Callithrix jacchus: one gene and its partners. The protein of the gene in region 3 binds, or shares a complex with, the protein of the main gene of each other region. Links are inferred from orthologs where the notes say so. Each region holds a gene or a part of one and is shown on either strand. Other genes may lie near its edges.

Region 1 (5,932 bases), on a different chromosome or scaffold from region 3:
TGTTGTAAATATTTGGCAATTTAAGACATTGTGTAAAAAGCAATCTGTAAAAACATCTCCAGGCTTTGATTTTTGTACCATGGAAATTGTATTTAACCATACAGGGTTTTGGTATGTTTATATTGTTTACCTTAGTGATGTATCTGTTTAAGTGGCTAACATCCAAACGATTGTTTGAAGGCATCAGTAATCTTCAGTGTGGAATGTTAAATAACGCTTTTATACTGTATTTTGTACTATGATGTAACTCCCCTTCCTTATGGCTAGGCTGCTGTAACACTTGCCTGTAATCAGTGAAGGGCTGTGCACCTTGTACTATTTCACAATGGGTTCTGCTGGACAGATATTGGGCCAGTGTTATTGAGGTAATCAAGCAAGATCTGTTCCACAGGGCTAAAGCCACCATCTCCCCTCAAAATTTTGTAGAGGTTATAAAAAGAAAGTGGTATGTTGTGTGATCAGCACTAAGTCCTGCATTCCTGTTAAAGCCACTTGGGTCATAAGAAGGGAGTCAAAAATGAAGTCTGACTAGAATTCTATTGCAGAGGCCAAGTACATTTAGTATGGCATTGAGTTGTGATATAGTTTTACTTTGATGTGCATTTTGAATTTCAGCTACACCTAGATAGACGTAAAATGATAATTAAAATGCTGTAACCAACTTATCTAATAAAATTGGCAACCAGCCACTATTTTGTTGACTCTGAGAAAGTTAAAGTTTATGTTAATTTTTAGGGTCCGATAGAATATTTCATGTGTATTACGGTGGTATTCATATGCTATGTCTCTAAACTTTATTTTCAAAAGCTTAAGGCCCAAATACAAACTTCTCTGGAATAAATGTGGTGTTTTATTTTCTGGATTATAAAGTGAACAAATACTTAGATACTATTATTTCTTTACCCAATGCTTTTGATTTCTAAGCACTTTTATTTAAAAAAATGTGAATTATACAATCCCGCCTACACACGCACATGCACATGCACACGCGCACACACACATTAAATACTACTTTGCCATGACAGCTCAGCATACTTCACAATTCTTAACACTATTCTATGTGGAATACAAAATGCCTTTTTATCTGAATTAACATGAATTAAAAAAATTTTAGTATATGTGAAAATAAAGAAATTATAGATCAGTAGGAAAAATGTTAAGGTAGATGCATCAGCAAGTCAGCTAGGTTAGTAGAGATTTATAAAACAAGAACCTACTAACAGTCTTAGGTAAATGGTAAAGTAACATTTTTGCCCTGATGACTTTGTCACAAGGCCAAGAGATAATTGTGTTTAGTCTCAATTTCCTGTTTGCAAGGAAACATTAATTCAGTTTTCTACTCACTATACAATTAGGTTGTAGGGATATAGATACCTCATTTGAGTGATCTGAGCTTTTCATCTTTATATCTAAAAACTAACCTGAAAATAGTAAAAGCAGAAAACACTGATTTAAAAAATGCTACTGTAATAAAAATATAAATGTTTCAGTATTTTAAAGTATATTCCTTTAACTTCAGGAACCTTGAATTTCCTTGCTAGAAGGCTTTTCCTCAAAGATTCCTTTGAGGCTTACTTTGGTGTTCAGGATCTCCAGTTATAAATGTAGTCTCTCATCACCACATTCCGTAAAGACGATTTCCCAAGTAACGGTATTTCACTAAGTTGCTCCAGAGTCTTAGGGTGCAAACCACAGTTAGTAAGCTCCTTATGAACAACCTCCTGTGGAAATTTGTGTAAAAGTCAGTAAAAGGCATATTAGTCTTGAAACACACGAGTTTTAATTACTATGGAGACTGATTAATGTGATTCATCCTATCAACAGAAGACCTAAGAATTTTTGTAGTGACAAAATCCCAAAATATTAATGGTTATTTTTATAAGTCTAGCCAACTGAGATGCATGAGACAATTTTAAAGGTCTTAACTCTAAAAATCCTTATATTCAAAATCAAAGGCAAATATGGTTTAATACCTATAGTGAATCATGTTTCCTTAAAACTATCAAGGAATTGGGTACTACTGAGTTTTGGATCCAAGAGGACAATGAAAATAAAATTTCCCCTTTTGGGAATGGGAAGTTCCTTAGTCACTGTTAAAATTGTACTTGTACTGATGCCAGGCGCCTTGGCTCAAACCTATAATGCCAACACTTTGGGAGGCCAAGGTGGCAGATCACCGGAAGTCAGAAGACCAGCCTGGCCAACATGGTGAAACCTCCCCCACAACCCGTCTCTACTAAAAATACAAAATATAGCTGGATATGGTGGTACCTGCCTGTAATCCCAGCTACATGGGAGGCTGAGGCAGAATTGCTCGAACCCAGGTGGATGAGGTTGCAGTGAGCCAAGATCAGGCTGCTGCACTCCAGCCTGGGCAACAGAGCAAGACTGTCTCAAAAAAGAAAAAATTTGTACTTGGACTCAATTCATGAAAGTTAATTCAACAACTTATGGACATTATTCCTTCCTCTAGTAATTCATAATTTATCTAATTAAGTTTAATTACTTGAAACACAAAAGTGACTCAGCATAAATGACTTCCTTCCCTCCAGCTAGTCTTAGGAAACTACAACTAAAAGTCTGCTCATAGATGTCTACTTACCGTATTAAGTACTTTGTCCACTGGCAGGCAGATGTTAAATACAGCAGTTGGTTCATGTGGATATAGTAGTGCAGAGAAAGACCCGCTCTGTGAAGATTTGAGCAGCATGGTCAGTGAGTGCAGGCAATGAGGCATGATAGGACCTGTAATCTCCAAACTAAATTGGTCTCTGTATCCAGAAAGAGCTTGTGTCTTCACATTTACACTTCGTGCCTTCATGAAAATTTAAAGAAAAGGAAAATGATGATCATCTTTCAACTTTTTTCTAGCTAAAACTGTGGTTACTATGTTTCCATTTGGGGTTTCCTCTCTTTAACCGTTATAGAACAAAAGTATTTTCCAAGACATCAAAACAATGTTACGTGAGTAAAAATACTTGGCAAATTTTCAGCATCCTCTCCATATTATGAGATTTTTTCAGTTGAAATATATTCCAGAGAATACCATTTTTTCATATAGTATTTTATCTGATTTAGTAATAGGCTGTCAATGCAGACTACTGGAAAAACAAAAATTTAAAATTCATTCAATTCTATTGCTGACATTTAGCACATACTTTGTATTTACATGTATAATTTGACTTTTACTTATGTATGCCCCAGTTTTTGACATCTGCTATTATTTAATATAACATTCTTGGCCATGTCCTTTCACTAGTGAAATGAAAATGGAATCAAGCAACTATTTCTTAAGTGGCAAAAAAGGAAATTAACACCAAAATGCTTTTGTTCCCAATTACTTTTTTGCCAACTGTTACTTTATTCAGTCAGAAAATTTTTGGCCAGGCATGGTGGCTCATGCCTGTAATCCCAGCACTTTGGGAGGCCAAAGCAGGAGGATCGCTTGAGCCCAGGAGTCCTAGACCAGCCTGAGTAACAGACCCCAAGTCTACAAAAACTTCAAAGTTAGGACAGGCGTGGTGGCTCAAGCCTGTAATCCCAGTACTTTGGGAGGCCAAGGTGGGTGGATCACTTGAGGTCAAAAGTTCAATACCAACCTGGCCAACGTGGTGAAACCTCATCTCTACTAAAAATACAAAAAAACAATTAACCAGGCATGGTGGCGTGTGCCTGTAATCCCAGCTACTCAGGAGGGTGAGGCAGGAGAATCACTTGAACCCAGGAGGCGGAGGCTGCAGTGTGCTGAAATCACGCCGCTGCACACCAGTCTGGGTGACAGCGTGAAAAAAAAAAATTAGCAGGGCATAGTGGTAAGCACCTGTGGTCCCAGCTACTTGAGAGGCTGAGGTAGGAATGTCTCTTGAACCCAGATGGTTGAGGTTGCAGTGAGTTGTGCCACTGCACTTCAGCAAGACCTTGTCTCCCCAACCAAAAAAAAAAATTCATATAATTTAAAAAGAGTCCAGGTGCAGTGGCTCACAGCTGTAATCCCAGTACTTCTGGTGAAACCCCATTTCTACTAAAAATACAAAAATTAGTTGGGTGTGGTGGCACTTGCCTGTAATCCCAGTTATTCGGGAGGTTGAGGCAGGAAATCCCTTGAATGTGGGAGTCAGAGGTTGCAGTGAGTATTGCACCACTGCACTCCAGCCTGCTGACAGAGCGAGATTCCCTCTCCAAAAACAAGAAAAAACAAAACAAAAAGCTGGGTGTGGTGTGTGCCTGTAATCCCAGCTACTCAGGAGGCTGAGGCATGGCACAAGAATCATTTGAACAGGGGAAGAAGAGGTTGCAATGAGCTGAGATTACCCCACCGCATTCTATCTAGCTGGAATAGCACAGCAAGACTCCATTAAAAAAAGAAAATTTCATATAATTTACATATTTTCACATAATTTCTTTGATGTAACTGTCTTATGTCAGTTTTTTTGTTTTCTTAATGGGAGGAAAGCAAAAGCAAAATATGTACCAAGTAAAAATGCTAGAAGTTTTTTTTAATCAAGAATTTATCCTATCAAAGTAAAGTACTTCTTAAAAGCTAGGTTATGGAGATTTTTATTACCTTAAGCATTTGCATTGTGGCACCTCGGAAAGCAACAGGGGATAAGAGGGTTGGAGGAAGGCCTGCCTGTGGACCTGAGGTAGCAACTAAACTCTTAGAGTTGATCAAAAAATTGAGCAATGTAAAGGTGTTGATTCCTTTCATGAACACAACAGACTCAGGTCTGTGATCCATTTGTACTTCATGTTTCTCTTTACGACTGAAGATAACAGTCAAGGAAATTGCAAAAGCAAATCCCACGTACTGTGGAAAGCAATTATCTCGATTCTGAATCACCTGAGACCCCTTTTCTCCATAATGAAATGGAAATGCTCTTGCTACCTCTCTTTACTCAATGATTAAGGCATATATTTCATCAAAATGTTAATTTAAATTTGCTACAAACTGACACCTAAACATAATTTCTTCTCTAGTCAAAACACACCTATTCTCCCACAATCAATCACAATTGAATGTTTTGATTAAAAAATGTTTCATAGTTCACCATTTATTGATACTCAGGGGCTTGTTATTAAATATTACAATGAAAATTAGTTTTAATATAATCTGAAGATAATTTAAGATTATAGTTATATAAAACTGCCAATGTTAAACTTCTCACTAACGTCATTAAATGAAAATTAATTCTAGTTAACAGCAACTGAAAGGATACAGCTTGATAGAAAGTATGTCTGGCTTTTTAATTTCATCTTGCACTCCCATCTCTTCCAGCCAGGAAAAACTTTCCTCTTCGTCCTCATCACTGATGGTTTGCTCCCTAGGAAATTGCTGTAGTTAGAGTCTCTATTTCACAAAGCTGCTCCTGTACAAATCTATTTCATGGGTCTGTAAGTCACTGGATGACATAAAAATTTATTTTAATCACATACTCCCCATATCCCAGGCTTGTTCCAGATGCTGTCTCCTTTTTATGGCCACTTTCTTTTATTAAAGGCAGAGAAAATTCAATACCTACATGAGGAAAGAAAAATGTAACTGAGTTTTCATTAAAAGTATTTAACAGGCATGCTGTACTTTTCAGGTGTACAAAATACGAAATGTGAGTTTTTACAAATGATCTATTAAGGCAGTATTTTCAAGCTTTCTTGACACAGTACATATACACATAAAAACATATCTCCTTGAAAGAGGTTCAGCAAACAACACATACATGTGACACTCTTTCATAAATTATATTGTATTCTAGTTCACTTTTTGAAAACGTACTGATTGGGTCCACTAAATAGATTTCATGATCCACTAATGGGTTGACTCAGTTTGAAAATTATGTTATTAAAGGAGTAGCTGGTACTACAGAATAATTTCTAGAAGAGTGTATATAGTGACTATCTGGCCCAATATGTGTTTTATTTTAGAGGTCAGAGAAGG
Region 2 (5,932 bases), on a different chromosome or scaffold from region 3:
GAAATAGAATAAGAAAGCCTCAGTTTATTACTGCGAATCTCAAAATTCCTTTGTCTTCCTCACTGTCTAAACTTTCCTCCTCCCCGTATAACACATTACCATTGTGGCCCGGCTTTCTTCATAGCTGTTCCTTCAGAACAATGGGGGCTTGCTTCTGGGGTTTGACTTTTCTCTTGCCTGAGCTCCCATCATGTTCTAGCCTCCCAGAGCTGGGCTAATAGCTGGACTGCTTTCCTTTTATGTTTCTCTCTCTTGTTTCTCAGAGCTTATAAAGTTTTGGGGGCCCATTTTATACTTAAAGTGTATAATTTATTGTTCTTTCTGACTTTTTGTTCTTCTTCACCTCTTTAGGTCATTTGGCCTTGAACTCTTCACTGTCATAATTTTTAACACTGACCTAATCAGTTGGGAGAATTTCAGATCCAAGACTTGTGTTAAGAATTTGAATACAGCCAGGAGATTTAGGGAGCAGGTGAGGCTAAGCTGCTGCCCAGTCCCCTGACCAGCACTTTCTTTGTGATGGTTGAGTAATAGGTCAGTTGAGGATTTTCACTTCCCCTCTCATGGGCCCTTTACTAAGATCACCAATTCTGTGATGGTTGAGAAATGATGGGATCCCTTTGGTGGTGCTCATTCCTTGGGTGATGCCACTTCCACAGCAGTATTTTTTTCCTAAAAGTGTGCTTTCCTATTAACCTCAGTGTAGCAGAACAAGCCTTATCAGTGGAACAGTCACTAGAAATAGTCTCCATGCAAAATATTAAGCAGGTCCTAGTTGTTAGAGCTTTAATTATGATAATCATTTAAAAGATGATTTCCCCCACCTAGAAGTTTATACTCTTAATATCAGCTGGAAATTTTTAGTCTAACAAGCATCTAGGTGTTTAAAAGTAATCCTTAGGTCACAGCGAAAGACTCTGCCATGGAAGATTTGTAATAACCTGAGAATTATCTACACTTAGATCTTGAGAGAAAATGTCTTGTTCTGAATGATAAGGTGGCATAGTATAGTTGGAATAGCAAGGCTGTAGAATTGGATTGACGTAGGCTTAAAAACTCCTGTGTCAGTTATAAGCTGTGTGACCTTGGCAAGTTTAGGTACCTCTCTGAACCTCTATTTACTCTAATGTGCAAGTAAGAAAATCTGTCTCTTAGAGTTATAAGAATAAAGTGAAATACATGGCATATGGAAGATGATGATTGGATATTCATAAACCAACTTCATAACCTGACTTAGCTATGAAAGAAAACATTTAGCTAAGATACTTCTGGCTGTAAAAATTCTTGATTCTCTGATTTTATTTGTATAAAATTATTAAAATATATATTTTAAAAATAACTATATAACTGCAAATTTATTTGTTATCAGGAATTACCGCTTGCGAAATGCCCTTTGCTGGACATGTAAATTTAGAGAACCAGTGGAGAAAGCATTATACTAGAGAGCACTTGTAGTTTTCTGATCTAAGTCTGTTTCATTATTTCAGTCTTCCCTGACTCTCCTGGGGTTTATGAAGCTGAGTCACCATCCCCACCTCCTCCTATGTCTCCACCTCTTGAACCAGTGTCAAAGACTGAGCCTGAACCTCCTTCTGTTAAGGTAAAATTGTACTGGGATGCTTGCATATCCATGTGTCCTTTATGTCTGAAGGACCTGCAACCACTGTGCTAAATCAGTTCCCTTGCTGTATACTTCACAAATGCCAGTAGATGGCTCTTGTCTCATTCTGCTCTCCTACAGGTTGTACATAATGACATTCCCTCCATTCTCACCTGAAGGGAGATTTCGCCATAGGGTATAGTCTCAGGAACGCTGCAGAAGTGGAACCTGGGAGCTGTTCTGTTTTCATGACCTTTAGCATCTCTGCTGTGCTGTACACCTCCTGTTAGAATGGTGCAAAAAGAGATCCCCTCTCCATCAGAGCAATACATAAAAGACAGAGGGGAACAAACAACTTACAAATGTTTGTTGCTTTTCAGAAGCAATTCTGGAAAAGGGCTCATGAGAAAACTGGCAATCAATGGGGAAATACAGCTTTGAACGCTCTTCAGCTGCATCTTATCTACATCCATTAGTGTAGATAATGAAGAGTTGAAAAAAATAAGTGCTGACATTTTTTTTTTCCTTTGTGGCTGTTAGTTTTTCTTAGTTCATTGTGTTAAGACTGTCATTTAAATCTTACACTGATTTACTCATTAGCTGAAGAGAAAATGGGATGAAAGAGACCAGTGGAGATAAAAGGAAGTTGGTATTAGTAATACCTTTTGAGACCAAATTAGATAGGTGTAATGTTGAAGCGTCAAGGCTGGCCAAGCGTGTTGGCTTACACCTATAATCCCAGCACTTTGGAAGGCTGAGGTAGGAGGAATGCTTGACTCCAGGAGTTTGAGACTGGCCTGGACAACACAGGGAGACCTTGTCTCTACTTTAAAAATATCTGGGTATGTGGTGGCTCACCCCTGTAATCCCAGCACTTTGGAATGTCGAGGCAGGTGGACCACTTGAGGTCAGGAGTTCAAGACCAGCCTGGCCAATATGGTGAAACCCCATCTCTATTAAAAATACAAAAATTAGCCAGGCATGGTAGCTGGCATCTATAATCCAAGCTACTGGGGAGGCTGAGTCAGGAAAATTACTTAAACCCAGGTGGCAGAAGTTGCAGTGAGCTGAGATCGTGCCATTACACTCTAGCCTGGGCGACAGAGCGAGACTCTCTCTCAAAAAAACAAAAAAATCTGGGCAGGGTGGGGCGCATGCCTTTAATTTCAGCTACTTGGGAGGCTGAGGCAGGATGATCATTTGAGCCCATGAGTTGGACTGCTGCAGTGAGTTATGATTGTACTTCTGCACTCCAGCCTGGGCAACAGAGCAAGATCCTGTCTCTAAAAAACGAAAAAGAAAAAAGAAATGTGAAGACTGATATAGCAGGTGTCTACAGCAAGGGCATATACCACAGAAACTCCTTGTCTGGTTTAGGGGCCATCCCTGTGTACTCCCATAATATCTGCCTCAGCCCTCCATTGAAGCCCTTACCACATCGTATTGCAATGTCTGCTTTCCTTCTCTCTCTCTTCCACTAAGGTCCTTATCCTATCCTACTGTTTAACCATTTTGCCTTCTCTACCCAACAAAAGTTTGTTGACTGAATGAACGGAACATAGTTCTTTCTTCAGCATGTTACTTTCCTTCTTATGATTAATGAAATATCAAGCCTATGTATACATAACTTGTCTGTGTAATGGGGTTGGTTCTCTAAAACTAATGTAGTGTTTCTTGTTCAACTTTTTATCATAATAGAATATTGGAGGGTGATTAGTATAGATTTAAAAGCTTTTGTTATTTTTCTGTATAACATAATTGGTCAGCTTAACATTGTATCCTCTGATCTTTTAGAGCTCAAGTGGAGAAAACAAAAGAAAACGAAAACGTGTACTAAAATCTAAAACTTACGTGGATGAGGAAGCCTGCATAGGTAAGACAAATATTTGGCTCCAAATCCAGAGATAGAATCTCTTATTACCATAGAGGCACCATAATCCCTTATAGAACAGGTACATCTCAAACTTTAGTGTACAAGAATCATCCCCAAGTGGTACTAATGTTATTTGTCTGGCACACACTTTGAGTAGCATAGTATAAGTCGGAACACCTTGGTTCTTGTTTAGGTCATACACTATGAAAATAAGCGGTGAGATCTTGGCTAAAAGTTATGTTGTCTCTGCTGAGGAGTTTCTTATCTGTGGAATATCTATTTTGCCTATATGTGGGGTTGTTATGAAGAGTCAGGTGGCATAAATATATCTAAAAACACTTTCAAAATGGAAACCACAGTACAGACTCAAGATGTCATAGAGGTTGAGAAGCTTTTTAAATTTTTTTTAAGAATGTTTTTATAAATTTGAACAGTGGAAAAGAAGCTACAGATGATTAGAGTGTATCAAGAATCATCTTTGGTATTTGGTTCCATTTTTTCTTCAGAAGGGTATGACTCATCCAGACTGCTTCCTTTATGTTTCCTATTTGTAAGCCATGTTAGGTAAAAGCATGTGCTTGTTATGAAGGCTTAGGGAGGAATTAGAGTTCAGACTTTGAGTCATTGGCTGATTCTTCAGCCATGTTTTAGCTTCTTCTACCCTTTCCATAATCAAACCAGACTTCTGTGGAGCTTTTAAGATTTAGCACTTGAGGTTCCATGGGATGCTCAGATCCTGGTATTGTGCTTTTGTATTTGAAAAGAGTTGTGGGTTTAGGCTCTTACCTTTGTTATTGGATAGTCCATGGTTGTCATTTTGCCTTTTGTGGCACTTGCCACAGGTTGGATCTTCAGAGAAGGTTATTTTCCCCCTTCTCAATTTTTTTTCCTAGTTCAGATTTCTGTTTTTAAAAGATTGGCTCTGAAGAATCAACTTTTCCTGGTTCTTAAAACTAGTGCAGACGTTCTGTCGGCTGTTTTCCCTGTCCCACTATTCCCCACGTCTCTGTCCTCTGAAAAGGCCTCTGCCATTTTAATTGTAGCATGTGATTAGGGAGTAGAATTCTTTACATGTGGGAATTCTGTCTTTTCAATGCCAGATTTCTTGTGAACCTGTGAATTCTGGACTTTGAATGGGTTTTTTTTTTCTTTTCCTTTCTTTTTTCTTTTTTCTTTTTTTTTTTTTTGGCTTTCAGTCTTTTAATAGTTGCCATTTTTCAAAAATGGCAAGCCTCTTGGTTTGGCCATGGGTGGTAATATATGTATTTACTGTTGAATTTCTTAATTCAACAGTACATTTTTTTAATTTAAGAGGACAAAAGCATTGGTGCCAGTTTTTTTTCACTTCTTTCTGCCCTAAAAGAAAAAAAGTCAGATGTCTTTGTGAGAGTTCATTGGGAATTTGTGGGTAATTGTTTACTGCTTTGTTTAGAACATAGTACTCGAGTTTTGGCCAGGTGTGGGATGTGGACTTTTTTGCACTCCTGTCTCCAGACAGGGCTGTTAAGAGCCTTGGATGCAGCAGTGAAAACTGTGCTCACATTGCACTTTTTTTTTTTTTAAGGTTTTTAGTCCAAGCTCAACCTAATGAGTCTTGGCTTTGGTTACCAACAAAGGAGTTCTGCTTTCCTCTCTACTCACACTGTTCTAAATGTACCAGCATAGGAGGCTCGCCCTGTCCTGTGCTGGATCAGATTTGTTCTGTGGGTTTAGAAAGCTCATCTTTCCCTCTGTGAGTTTGCAGCAGAGAGTGGGGAGTTGAGGCCCTGAGATAAGTTTGGAGTAGACTCCTGGACAAAACGGTGGGTTTCTAAGAGCAAAGCAGTTGAATAGAAAAGATATCTGATGTTACCCGTGAAAACCAGGTGTTTGGATTTTTTTTTTCATGGCAACCCAGAAAGTGACATGTTGTTCAGCTAAAATAAAGGACCTATATTTTTAATGGAAACCTCCTTTGTCCTGGGGTTTGAGGTAGCTATAGCTTTGAATATAGAAAAATGTTTCGTTTAGCTATTATAGTATACTGAATATGCTGCTAAAGAAATTTTGTTGGTGCCGCCCTGTTTTTTTTTAACTCCCCCAAGCAGTGTATTACACAAAATTGGCAATGAGACAGCCAGTGGGTTCATTAATAAGTAATGAAATAATGAGCTAATTGATGCTAAAGTGTAATGTTGTAGACATGCTGCTATTTGAATACAGAATATAGCTTATGAAGGAGCAAAGTCTTATATCACCAACTAGTAGAAAGTCATTTCCTTTATCTGTAGATGGCTCTTCAGGCTTTTCTAATTGAAGATAATTTATTGAAGATATTCAATAAATAACAGCTTGTAATTTTGTCCCATTAATTCAGTTACATGCTTTTGAAGATGCATGTGCGGTGGATGTGGTGTTTTGAGATCTAATTGTTGAATGAATAGGTATGCCATGGGAATTCTCTAAGTATCTTAGAACAA
Region 3 (5,932 bases):
AGAATTGCTTGAACCCGGGAGGCGGAGGTTGTAGGGAGCCAAGATCATGCCACTGCTCTCCAGCCTGGGTGACAGAGCTAGACTCCATCTCAAAAAAAAAAAAATTGTAATTTTTACACTGATGAGCAACGATTTAAAAACGAGATTGCTGACATCTAGTTTGGAAAATAAAGAGAAAGCATGTTCATACACAATCTTGGCTAGAATGTAAATTGCAAACTTTTGGAGATTAATTTAGTAATATTTATCAAAAATTTAGCCACGTGCGGTGGCTCACGCCTGTAATCCCAACACTTTGGGAGGCTGAAGCAGGTGGATCACCTGAGGTTGAGAGTTCGAGAACAGCCTGGCCAACATGTTGAAACCCCGTCTCTGCTAAAAAAGTACAAAAATTAGCCGCGCCTGGTGGCAGGTGCCTGTAATCCCAGCTATTTGGGAAGCTAAGGCAGGAGAATCACTGGAACCCGGGAGGCAGAGTTTACAGTTTGCTGAGATGGCACCACTGTACTCCAGCCTGAGTGACAGAGCAGGACTCCATCTCAAAAAAAAAAAAAAAAAAAAACAAAACAAAATTAAATGTATACGCTCTTTGACTCAGCCGTATTACTTCAAGGAGTTGATGACATCAAAATTACCTAAGTACTCAAAGGTGTTTGTAATTAACAACAGGCGCTTCATAAATTAGGTCACACATGTGATGCTATCTTTTAAAGAGGTACTGATATAGAAAAAATGTGGCATAAAATTAAATGTACTTTATTATTCTTTCAAAGTGCTTACGGAATGAACGCATTTTCAAAAAGATGTGTATTCATACTTTTAAAAAAGCTTTAAAAACTTTATACAGTGAACGATTGACTCTAAGAGCCGATGGAGGAATGTTAAGAGGGTGATAGAGAGCTAAGTTTAACGTAACAGCCCACCTGTCTATCAGGGGACACTTAGGAGCGCATCAATTCTGTAATTGAAAAATAAAGAGCATATTTGCAGCAGCTGAACTCTTCAGGCTGCAAGGAGGTTTTTCCTCCCGGTATGCTTGACTTGCATTTCGCTTTCACTTTCGTGGCTGGAAACTTTCTGCCCACGAAGTGGGAGGCTGAGGAGGCACCACAAAGCTGGAGCTTGACGAACCGGGGCCTGGGCCTGATCCCCACAAACGCCCGGACTAGTCCAGCGGCCAGGTTCAGAAATCAGGCAAAGAGGCGGGGAGACCTGCGGAACGCTGCCTCGCCCTGCGCCCGCATCCTCCAATGCATGTTCTAGGAGGGCGGGCCTCGCGGGGAGCAGGGACACGATTGGCCCTAAAGTGTCCCCGCGCAGCCCGTGGGCGTGGAGACGTAGTGACGTCACAACGCGGCGCAGGGTGAGAGCGCGCGCTTGCGGACCCTGCGCTATTAAACGGTTGCAGGCGTAGGGGAGCGGTCGTTTTTCTAGGGTTCAGCCTCTCGTCACGTTCGCCCGCTCTCTCTGCGGCTCCTGAAGCCGAAACCGGCTAGAGTTTGCTTCTTCCCGCCTGCCTGTAGCCGCGTTGGTGCCACTCCGCCACCATGTTCGAGGCGCGCCTGGTCCAGGGCTCCATCCTAAAGAAGGTGTTGGAGGCACTCAAGGACCTCATCAACGAGGCCTGCTGGGACATCAGCTCGAGCGGCGTAAACCTGCAGAGCATGGACTCGTCCCACGTCTCCTTGGTGCAGCTCACGCTGCGGTCTGAGGGCTTCGACACGTACCGCTGCGACCGCAACCTGGCCATGGGCGTGAATCTCACCAGGTGAGCCCGGCAGCGCCTAGAGCCGACTCCGGCCCACCCCTATCTCCGGCGCTTGGCGGGAGCGCTTCCGAGCCGAGCCCTCATTGGCTGGCGTGGGCCATCCGCGCCTTCTCACTGGTTTGCCACGCGGGGTGGGGTGGGGCCCAGCCGAGCGCGCGGTTCCGAAAAGCCCGCGCTGGCTGTTGTAGCGCGAACCTGCTTTTTCGCGCCAAAGTCACAAAGCAAGTGGTGGCGGGAAAATGACTGGTTTTTCTGCAGTGCCAGGAACACTGCTCCGGGGCTCTGGCTCCTTATATCCCGATGGCCTTGAATGGACGCTTTAGTTGTGGCTGACTTTTTTGTTTGAGACGGGGTCGCGGTGTGTTGCCCAGGCTGATCTCCGACTTCTGGGCTCAGGCGATCCACCCGGCTCAGTCGCCGTTGACTTTAAATGGTTTATAATGTGCCCTTGCGAGAATGTGTCAGCCTGTCATCCTACTTGGTGGCAGGAGATTGTTTCTATCCAGAAGGGAAACTGCCGGTGGCGTTTTAGTATAAATACTGCCAGATGCATCCCAAAATGTCTGCATTAATATTCACATCCTCTAGCAGTACGTTTACTCTCCACCAGTTCTGAGATGGCCCGATGGGTGAGAGTGGTAACCCCTTCTAACTGCATTAGAAATACAGACCTTTAGCAGGTGGTGTTGATTTTAAACCATGTGTCTCCTGTCTTCTAGTATGTCCAAAATACTAAAATGCGCTGGCAATGAAGATATCATTACCCTAAGGGCTGAAGATAATGCGGATACCTTGGCGCTAGTATTCGAAGCACCAAGTAAGTCATCTTTTTACTGAGTTGTGAAGCTACAGAAACTCAGAACTCTGTATCAGTATTTCACAGCAGCATTTGCTTTCTTTTGGTAGACCAGGAGAAGGTTTCAGACTATGAAATGAAGTTGATGGATTTGGATGTTGAACAACTTGGAATTCCAGTGAGTATCAATTTCTGATTGTAGAGAGTACTGTACACAGGCATGATAGTTGTGTAATAGAATGTGGGGTTGTCAGTCCGTCCGCCCCCCTCCCCTCACACAGGGTCTTGCTCTGCTGCTCAGACTGGAGTTTAGTGGAGCCTTATAGCTCACTGTAACCTGGGACTCTTGGGCTCTAGCCACGCTCCTGCCTTGGTCCCTAAGTGACCAGGAAGGACTACAGGCTTGTCCCATCGCACCTGGCTAATTTTTTTATTTTTGTGTGTGGGTGGGGACAGTCTTGCCCAGGCTGGTCTGGAACTCCTAGCCTCAAGCAATCCTCCCCACTCAAAATATGTTAATATAATTTAAGCCTACTTCACATAACTTTTCTAGAAATGTATCTACTAGTGCATGTTTCAAAGACAGATTTTTAGTATTTGAATAGTTGTTGTTTACCACAAGCCTAAAACTGGTTGTATTTATTGTTTATTGCCAGTTGTCTATTTGCATTAACTTCCATGAACCTCTTTTAAAAATTTTTTCCTTCTAGAATGCTTGGTTTTTATTAAGTGTATTTTAAAGATATCTTCGAAGAAATTTATCCAAGTTAGGTTTATAAACAGCAAAGGAGAAAAGAAATGTCAGAATGTTGAAAATGCCTAATGTCATATTCTTAGGTTTTTTTAGAAAGTAGTTAGGCTTGCTTGCACCGTCATCATTTCTTTGGTTGGTTAAGAAATTATCTGAGAATCTTGATTCTGCATTGTTTAGATGTTGCCTCTTAAGAAAGAGTGCCTAATCATTAAGTTTCTAACAATTAACTTTTGGAAAAAATTTGTTCTTAATAGGAACAAGAGTACAGCTGTGTAGTAAAGATGCCTTCTGGTGAATTTGCACGTATATGCCGAGATCTCAGCCATATTGGAGATGCTGTTGTAATTTCTTGTGCAAAAGACGGAGTGAAATTTTCTGCAAGTGGAGAACTTGGAAATGGAAACATTAAATTGTCACAGACAAGTAATGTCGATAAAGAGGAGGAAGCTGTAAGTAGTTTTTAAGTAAAAAGAAAATAGTTTGAAGAGAATTGTTTTCTTCTTTTTTTCACATTGCTACAAAGACATACCCAAGTTTGAAGAGAATTTTAATACCACTTAACATTGGGTTAATTGCTAAAATTAAAAGTGGATAGAATTGTACCTTAAGTAATTTGTGAAAATTGGGATACTTTTGAAATCTGCAATTGATTTATAAGTGGCCGTCCAAATTCAGCACATGTACATACCATGGAACAGTGGTTTATGAATCAAGCCCACACAGGCTCTTAAGGATAGGATTGGGAAGCTAGGTGTCTAACCTTTAGGTTTCTGGAGATACTTACTCTGTTATTAAATAATTGAGCATAGGTCAGCAACTCAATAGAAGGATATGGTTAGGAGTAAAAGTCTACCTGTTGTGAGCTCTTATGTAATCCTTATATTAGCTTACATGTTGTGGGTCCAATTGGTAGCCCATTCTAAAGGTAGAGAAGCAGGCTGAGCCAACCTTAAGTGGCAATTTAGCTAAAGTCACAGGCTGTAGGAATCAAAGGTTAAACAGAAGGGAGACTTCTCACTAAAGCTAGAATGCAGACTCCATGCAACTTTGAGAGTGCCTAGAGAACCCTTGGCACAAAATAGAATACATGGTAAAACCCTGTTTCTACTAAATACACAAAAATTAGCTGGGCATGGTGGCACACACCTGTAATCCCAGCTACTCGGGAGGCTGAGACAGGAGGATGACTTGAACCCAGGAGGCAGAGGTTGCAGTGAGCTGAGATTGTGCCACTCCCCTGCATCCTGAGCGACGAAGCAAAACTGTCTCAACTTAATAGCCTGAGCATAAATCAAAACTTTGTAAATCAAGGACAAAGGTCCTAACCTCATAGGATTGTTTGGATTAAATAGCATATGCTGTGTCTGACACATTATAAGCTTATAATAAATACTAGATGTTGCTTTCTTATTCCTTGAATGAATAGTCTACCTTTAGTTTAAATAAAAGAAATTCAGTTGAAAATGTTTTTTTTAAATTAATGAAGTCTAGGAGCTGATTCTTTTGTTTCCTGAATCACATTTCCACTCCTATGCCAATCTCATGGGGTTTTGTTTTGTTTTTTGTTTTTTTTTTCTGTTTTTCTTTGTTTTTGGGACAGGGTCTTGTGCTGTCCACCCAGGCTGGAGTGCAGTGGTGCAGTCTCCAGGGCTTAAGTGATCCTCCTGCCTCAGTTTCCCAGGCAGCTGGGACTACAGATGTGTGCCACCACACCTAGCTTGGTTCCCTCTAATTTCATTTTCTCTCTTCGATTACAATCTATTTTTTAACGAAATTAGATCATTCGTTAGGTTTTCCAGAGTTTGGATTTTGCTGATTGCATCCCTGTATATACATAAATTCCTCTATCCTGTATGTCCTACAAACTGGTTGCTACAGCCCTGGAGCCTTGATGATATTCAGGATGTTTTGTTTTGGGGTTGGAGAGCAAGAATACTTTATAGTTGGTAGTGTGTGATTCTAGTAGGAGGCACAGGGTACCTGGGTGTCTTTGCAATGTTTGTTAGCAGCTATAATAAATTAATGTTTCATTTTTTTCTTTTAATATATAATGAGCTGGGCCAGGTGTGGTGGCTTACGCCTGTAATCCAAGCACTTTGGAGGCCAAGGCGGGCAGATCATCTGAGGTCGGGAGTTCAAGACCAGCCTGACCAACATGGTGAAACCCTGTCTTTAAAAAATATATATATATATATGTATATATATATAGTGAGCTAATAGATTGCAACTTTCTTGCTGTTTTTAATGATGAATCTGTTTTCTCTTGTAGGTTACCATAGAGATGAATGAACCAGTTCAATTAACTTTTGCACTGAGATACCTGAACTTCTTTACAAAAGCCACTCCACTCTCTTCAACAGTGACACTCAGTATGTCTGCAGATGTACCGCTTGGTAAGATAATAAATTGGAACCTTATTTTGTAGGTAATATATGTGATACTCATCAGTAATTAACTATCTTCCTGTCATTCAGTTGTAGAGTATAAAATTGCTGATATGGGACACTTAAAGTACTACTTGGCTCCCAAGATCGAAGATGAAGAAGGATCTTAGGCATTCTTAAAATTCAAGAAAATAAAACTAAGCTCTTTGAGAACTGCTTCTGAGATGCCA
Region 4 (5,932 bases), on a different chromosome or scaffold from region 3:
CTTCTTTCTCTTCCCTGTCACTTGGGTGCTTCCTTCTAACACACCAAGGCCAGGCGGGTACTCACGTTTCCTCCGTTCTTCCTCTGGCTGAAGAAGGATCCAAATATCAATGATTCTGTCCAATCCAAATGATTTAATCCCCTGAAAAAGTTTTTTGGTGGGATTTTTGGTTTTTTGTTGTTTTTTGTTTTGTTTTGTTTGTTGTTGATTTAACAAAACAAAATAAAGCAAATGCAGGGATGGGATTTTGAAATGAGATGATTTCTTGGAAATGAATCTTGAGTTCCACCCAAAACACAGGCGGCAAGCAGGAAACTTCATTAAGCAGTAAGCATAAGGCTGCCATGGGGCCTTGGCACTCATAGCAACCACATTCTCAGCTATGGCTGCTACCTCAAACTCTTCCTATGCTTTCAAAACAGGCAAGACCTATAGCTGCACACTGCTTTCTCATCAATAAAAGGCCAATTTAAGTACCTTCCAGGAACATGAGATGATTGCAAAGAATCCAAATGGCACTTCAATACAAAGTGCTGGGCATACATACTTACCACTGCTTCTTATGAGAAAAGAACGTCAGGCTACCGCAGTGGCTCACACCTGTAATCCCAGCACTTTGGAAGGCTGAGGCAGGTGGATCACTTGAGGACAGGAGTTTGAGACCAGCCTAGCCAACATGGTGAAACCTTGTCTCAACCAAAAATACAAAAATTAGCCAGGTGTGGTGGCAAATGCCTATAGTCCCAGCTAGTTGGAAGGCTGAGGCATGAGAATCTCTTGAACTGGGAGGCGGAGGTTGCAGTGAGCCAAGACTGCGCCATTGCACTCCAGCCTGGGTGACAGAGTGAGACTCTGTCTCAAAAAAAAAAAAAAAAAAAAAACTACAGAATGTCTCTAGGTCCAGATTATTCTACATTTTAACTGGTCAGCTCCTGGAGGAGACAGCCTGACTGTGCCCTGTTTAGCCCAGATCTACCAAGAGCATCTGCTGAGCACTGGCTGGGCTCCAGCACTCATACAGCACCAGGCCTGCACAGAAGACAGACACAACCAGGACCCACACTCCAAGGGCTTGTCATCTTTTAGGGAGGGACACGTAAAACACTTACATAAAACAGCGGGCAAAATAACACAGTTGACATTATAACCCACAACGAGATGTGTGATCACATGTAATGATACATGGTACAGGTAACAAGTGGATTTAAGAGAAGTGAAGAGAACCACTTACTTTATATCATGCCACTGTGGATGATATTCCAAAAATACTACTCTCTTATAACAGTGACTATGGCTAAATTATGTTATATCTACTCGACCAAATATTATAAGGTCATTACAGTAGCAATGAAAGAAAGTATGCCTATGTGTTGAGTAAAAACCAGCATCCATTTTTACAGACCCTATAATGCAATTACACAAATACACATCTATAAGGACAAAGACAAAAACGGCAAAAATGAGAATTATTATACAAAATACTGTGATCATGTGCTCTCTTTTAGGTTCCAAAATTCCTATACCATCGTCATATAGTCTTTATAAATAACAAACTTAAAACACCTTTTGATTATGATTCACTGCTGTATTTATTGAGTGCCTAATGCATAGTAGGCTCTTGAAAATCTTTTCCCATAAATGAATGAGTGAGTATTTTTTGGTCATATAACTTTGCTTCAGGGTTGAAAATGCTGCAAACATGCCACTAAATCCTCCTGACTCCCTGTGAAACAGGTAAGGCAAGGCATTATTTTATCTCAGAGATGGAGAGAATGAGGCACACAGAAGTTGTGACTTGCCCCAAGCCACACACGGTTAGTGACCAGTCAGAACTAGAGCCGAGGTGTGTACTCCGCATGTTGTCAGCTCAGCTGCTCTCACACTAATGACAACACACAACCAGAAAAGCTTCCAGTAGCCCAGGGTCTCACTGGCATTGTCAAGGGGAGAAGGGCATTCATTGTTTGAAGAGTGGAAAGCAAGGTCCCCAGCCCTTCTAGGGTCTGCCTTTCCAGGAATGTTTCACTGGCATAATCAGAATGGCCAGGGTTAGAGACCAGTCACAGTGTAGCCCAGTGAAAAGAGTCAAAACCCCAAATGCTCTCTTGCATGATAATCCCAAAGAAGGTGAACGTTTTCATTGGGTATGTTCGTCTAAGCCTTTCCGTGCATGAAGTGGTCAACAGAAATGTACTCTTACCCCAATCAAATGTATCCTCGAAGGGACTTCCCCTTCCGTCACCCGTACGGCCTCATCAAACACGTTGGCATTGGTCCGGGACAACAAGGCCACTTGCCCCTTTACATCACCTCTAATGCCACCTTTAGGGAGAGAGCACAAACTCAATGGAAAATGGAAATAAAGAGGGAAACTTTTGTAACACAAAGAGAAGAGTAACTAAAGGCCTTACTCTGATGGTTTCCTCCAACCAAGGTCTTTTTCCTGACTCTCTTGCAAACATCCAAGATAGTAGCTCCCACATAAGCTATTTCCACACCAAACCGAAAACTCTGGAAAACAACAAGACAAAGGGAGTCAGTAGTCTGTCCTGCAGTGTGTCTGTGCATTTCCACTGCTGCCACCACAGCCTAGCCTGGCCAGACCAATGAGTTATTCCCAACACCCCGGCCCAGAAACAGAACTTCACAGGCTCACTTTCAAAGTCCTTCACAACCTGACAATTCCATTATTCCCAATACCAATAGTAAACTTTTCTTTTAAGTGAATCTACCCTTTTCTCCAAATCAAATCTAGTGAAGTCTAAATCATACAAAAGATTAAGACAGGGTAAGGAGGGCTTCTCCCCCTGCCTTTGAGATCCCACTCAACACTAACTTTGAAACCACTGCCCTGGTTGGGCATGGTGGCTCAGGCCTGTAATCCCAGCACTTTGGGAGGCTGATGCAGGTGGATCACGAGGTCAAGATTTCAAGACCAGCCTGGCCAAGACGCTGAAACCCCATCTCTACTAAAAATTACAAAAAAATTAGCTGGGCACAGTGGCACGTGCCTGTAATTCCAGCTACTTGGGAGGCTGAGGCAGGAGAATTGCTTGAACCCGGGTGTTGGAGGTTGCAGTGAGCCAAGATCGTGCCACTGCACTCCAGCCTGGGTGACAGAGTGAGACTCTGTCTCAAAAAATAAAAATAAAAAAAAAAAACCACTGCCCTGTACCAACCAGCCATGGCAGTAGCACAACCACCTATGCATTCCCTGTGCTGTCCTGCCTCGGTTCATGCTTTTTCTGTCTGCCTGTAAGTCTTTTTCATCCATCAAAATCACTTCTTAACCTTCAAAACTCAGCCCAAGACCTTACTTTCTTCACCCCTCAGGCTGGTAAGATATCATTCTTCCCCACACTCGGAGTGCATATGGCCTGGTTCCATGCACACACAAGTTCAGGTGCTTTGGTGAATACCAGTAACAGTCAAATGAAAACTAGACCTTCAACAAACACTACTTTGTTGCTATAAAACTACTGTGAGTGAACCATCAGTGAAACTATAAAATAAATACCCATGAGTTCATGTTAAGATAGATAAACGATGGAATATTTAAAGAGATGGGAGAGAAGAAACAAATCTCCTTTGCAGAAGAATTCCAAATAATTTATGAAGATTCTGCAACATTTACTCCTTGAGTATGGAAGGCACATAGGGACTTCCTTCCAAAGCATCCAGTATGGAAAGGATGGAAAAAAAGAGGAACTTTCAGTGGAGAAACCTGACAAACACTACATCAGCCAACAAGCTGATCAAGGTCAACATCAAGTCATGAGCCATGGTGACAGCATGGATGAAAATGGCTCTTTACCTCTGTGGTCTTCCTCCCAGAACCCAGAACTCTAGCCTAACCATGAGAAAAAACTTTAGACAAATTCCAGCACGGGGGATTTTACCAATGTCTGACTGGCACTTCTTAAAACTGTCAAGGTCATCAGAAATAGGGAAAGCCTGAGAAACTGTCACAGCCAAGAGAGCCAAAAGTAGCAAAAGACATTATTTCAGAACTAAGGAAATGCAAATGAACCATGGACTTCAGTCTATAATAGTGTATCAATGTTGGTTCATTATTGTGACAAGTGTTCCACATTAATATAAGATGATAAGATGTTAGTAACAGGAAACTGAGTATAGGATGTACGGGAACTCTCTTCTGTAAATCTGAAACTGTTCTAAAAAATATTATCTGTTGTGGCCGGGCGCGGTGGCTCACGCCTGTAATCCCAGCACTTTGGGAGGCCGAGGCGGGTGGATCAAGAGGTCAAGAGATCCAGACCATCCTGGTCAACATGGTGAAACCCCATCTCTACTAAAAATACAAAAATTAGCTAGGCATGGTGGCGCGTGCCTGTAATCCCAGCTACTCAGGAGGCTGAGGCAGGAGAATTGCCTGAACCCAGGGGGCGGAGGTTGCGGTGAGCCAAGATCACGCCATTACACTCCAGCCTGGGTAACAAGAGCGAAACTCCGTATCAAAAAAAAAAAAATATTGTCTGTTACAAGAAGAAAACAGCTCTGCACTGATGCCACCCTAATCACCACAGCAGGCAGGAGCTCAACGGAAGAATCAGAGGCAACTACATGACTTTCAGTAACATCGCAAAACATGGCAGTTTATACTTTCATCCAAGTCACACCTCTCTTCTAATTAGAAATGAGTTTCTTAAAAGCAGTGGTTCTCAAACTTCTGGTCTCAGGATGCGTCACGCTTAAAAATCACACTTAAAAAACCTCCAAAGAGCTTTTATTTACATGAGCTTTATCCATCTATCTCTTTACCATTTTAGAAACTTTACTTCATTTTTTTTAAAAACTATTAAAAATGTTTTGTGTTTTTTTTTTTAAGACAGAGTCTCACTCTGTTGCCCAGGCTGGAGTACAGTGGCGTGATCTAGGCTCACCACAATCTCCACCTCCCAGGTTTAAGTGATTTTCCTGCCTCAGCCTGCTGAGTAGCTGAGACTACAGGTGTGAGCCACCACACCTGGCTAATTTTTGTATTTTTAGTAAAGACAGGGTTCTGCCATGTTGGCCAGGCTGGTCTTGAACTCCTGACTTCAAGTGATCTGCTCACCTCAGTCTCCCAAAGTGCTTGGATTACAGGCAGGAGCCACCATGCCCAACTAAAAACCTCTTATATGACAACATATGGAACACATTTTTTGAAATGTAACTATATTTCCCAGAACAAAAATTCAGCAGGAAGAATGGCACCATGTTACATTTTTGCAAATCTCTTCAATGCCTGGCATCACAGAAGACAGTCGGCTTCCTGTGTTCACATCTGCGTGGTCTGCTGTGATACAGTATCCTGGCTGACACCCAGGAAGAAAATTCAGCCTCACACAGACATGTGATTGGAAAGGAAGGAATGCATAATCAAGGACACTGTGAGTTATTGCGTTCATTATGGGAGTTTGCCAAAATTTTAATTTCACTTGAAAACAAAGATGTCATCTTTGACAACACTGTCAGTTATTTTCCCTGAAGTCGCAGCCTATTTCACTTGTCTTTGAAAAACTGCCAAATACGCAAGTCTGAACAACCAGCACTGGTCTAACAACTGTTCTCAGTACAACATACAAGGCGGCAGGAGACATTGGTTCACAGTTCAGCCCAACAGCTCTTCCTCAGACGATAGCTATGCAAACACCTCTTATGCAAACAGTCTGACTTGGCGGACCCCTGAGAACCACACTTTGAGAACCACGGCTTAGAAGCAAGGAGTTGCTAGATCTGGTGAGCCTGGCATACCACCTTGCACAGGGCCTAGCACATAAGACACTGGGAGGGAGATGCAATGCCTGCCCACTTGGGGCCAGGGCCTCCGAGGCAGAGAGCGCGCTTACCTGCGTGAGATAGAAGACGTGGGTGTGGGGCACTGTGAACAGGGCGTTGACCGCACCCCGGAAGGTATAGATCTGCTGGT

Evidence for each region. The genes of interacting proteins can lie anywhere in the genome.
Region 1: PCNA (region 3) and DONSON share a complex: the UniProt entries of both Homo sapiens proteins name them as parts of the replisome complex. The link is inferred for Callithrix jacchus from reciprocal best matches to the Homo sapiens genes PCNA and DONSON.
Region 2: the proteins of PCNA (region 3) and POLD3 are in contact, whole or in part, in a crystal structure (PDB 1U76), measured with the Homo sapiens proteins. The link is inferred for Callithrix jacchus from reciprocal best matches to the Homo sapiens genes PCNA and POLD3. Residues at the interface, in NP_002583.1 of Homo sapiens: Met40, His44, Val45, Ser46, Leu47, Glu124, Gln125, Leu126, Gly127, Ile128, Pro129, Thr206, Ala208, Asp232, Val233, Pro234, Tyr250, Ala252, Pro253, Lys254, Ile255, Glu256, Asp257; in NP_006582.1 of Homo sapiens: Ala453, Asn454, Arg455, Gln456, Val457, Ser458, Ile459, Thr460, Phe462, Phe463, Gln464, Arg465.
Region 4: the proteins of PCNA (region 3) and FBH1 are in contact, whole or in part, in a crystal structure (PDB 8F5Q), measured with the Homo sapiens proteins. The link is inferred for Callithrix jacchus from reciprocal best matches to the Homo sapiens genes PCNA and FBH1. Residues at the interface, in NP_002583.1 of Homo sapiens: Met40, Ser43, His44, Val45, Ser46, Leu47, Leu126, Gly127, Ile128, Pro129, Ala208, Asp232, Val233, Pro234, Tyr250, Leu251, Ala252, Pro253, Lys254, Ile255; in NP_835363.1 of Homo sapiens: Ser56, Gln57, Arg58, Cys59, Ile60, Pro61, Phe63, Phe64.

Annotation. Positions count from the first base shown.
Region 1 is NC_133522.1:39,666,471-39,672,402, forward strand, and holds part of DONSON (protein downstream neighbor of Son), read right to left. Parts: intron 5,516-5,932; coding exon 5,434-5,515; intron 5,322-5,433; coding exon 5,217-5,321; intron 4,764-5,216; coding exon 4,565-4,763; intron 2,816-4,564; coding exon 2,603-2,815; intron 1,722-2,602; coding exon 1,584-1,721; 3' UTR 1,576-1,583; exon of another isoform or gene 911-1,575; intron 842-910; exon of another isoform or gene 1-841. UniProt on the Homo sapiens protein: Replisome component that maintains genome stability by protecting stalled or damaged replication forks.
Region 2 is NC_133511.1:66,323,981-66,329,912, reverse strand, and holds part of POLD3 (DNA polymerase delta subunit 3), read left to right. Parts: intron 1-1,487; coding exon 1,488-1,600; intron 1,601-3,394; coding exon 3,395-3,473; intron 3,474-5,932. UniProt on the Homo sapiens protein: Accessory component of both the DNA polymerase delta complex and the DNA polymerase zeta complex.
Region 3 is NC_133506.1:12,549,982-12,555,913, reverse strand, and holds part of PCNA (proliferating cell nuclear antigen), read left to right. Parts: intron 1-1,434; exon of another isoform or gene 1,435-1,523; 5' UTR 1,524-1,547; coding exon 1,548-1,768; intron 1,769-2,487; coding exon 2,488-2,585; intron 2,586-2,674; coding exon 2,675-2,742; intron 2,743-3,572; coding exon 3,573-3,767; intron 3,768-5,587; coding exon 5,588-5,711; intron 5,712-5,792; coding exon 5,793-5,872; 3' UTR 5,873-5,932. UniProt on the Homo sapiens protein: Auxiliary protein of DNA polymerase delta and epsilon, is involved in the control of eukaryotic DNA replication by increasing the polymerase's processibility during elongation of the leading strand.
Region 4 is NC_133508.1:7,876,588-7,882,519, forward strand, and holds part of FBH1 (F-box DNA helicase 1), read right to left. Parts: coding exon 5,853-5,932; intron 2,512-5,852; coding exon 2,412-2,511; intron 2,323-2,411; coding exon 2,201-2,322; intron 142-2,200; coding exon 66-141; intron 1-65. UniProt on the Homo sapiens protein: 3'-5' DNA helicase and substrate-recognition component of the SCF(FBH1) E3 ubiquitin ligase complex that plays a key role in response to stalled/damaged replication forks.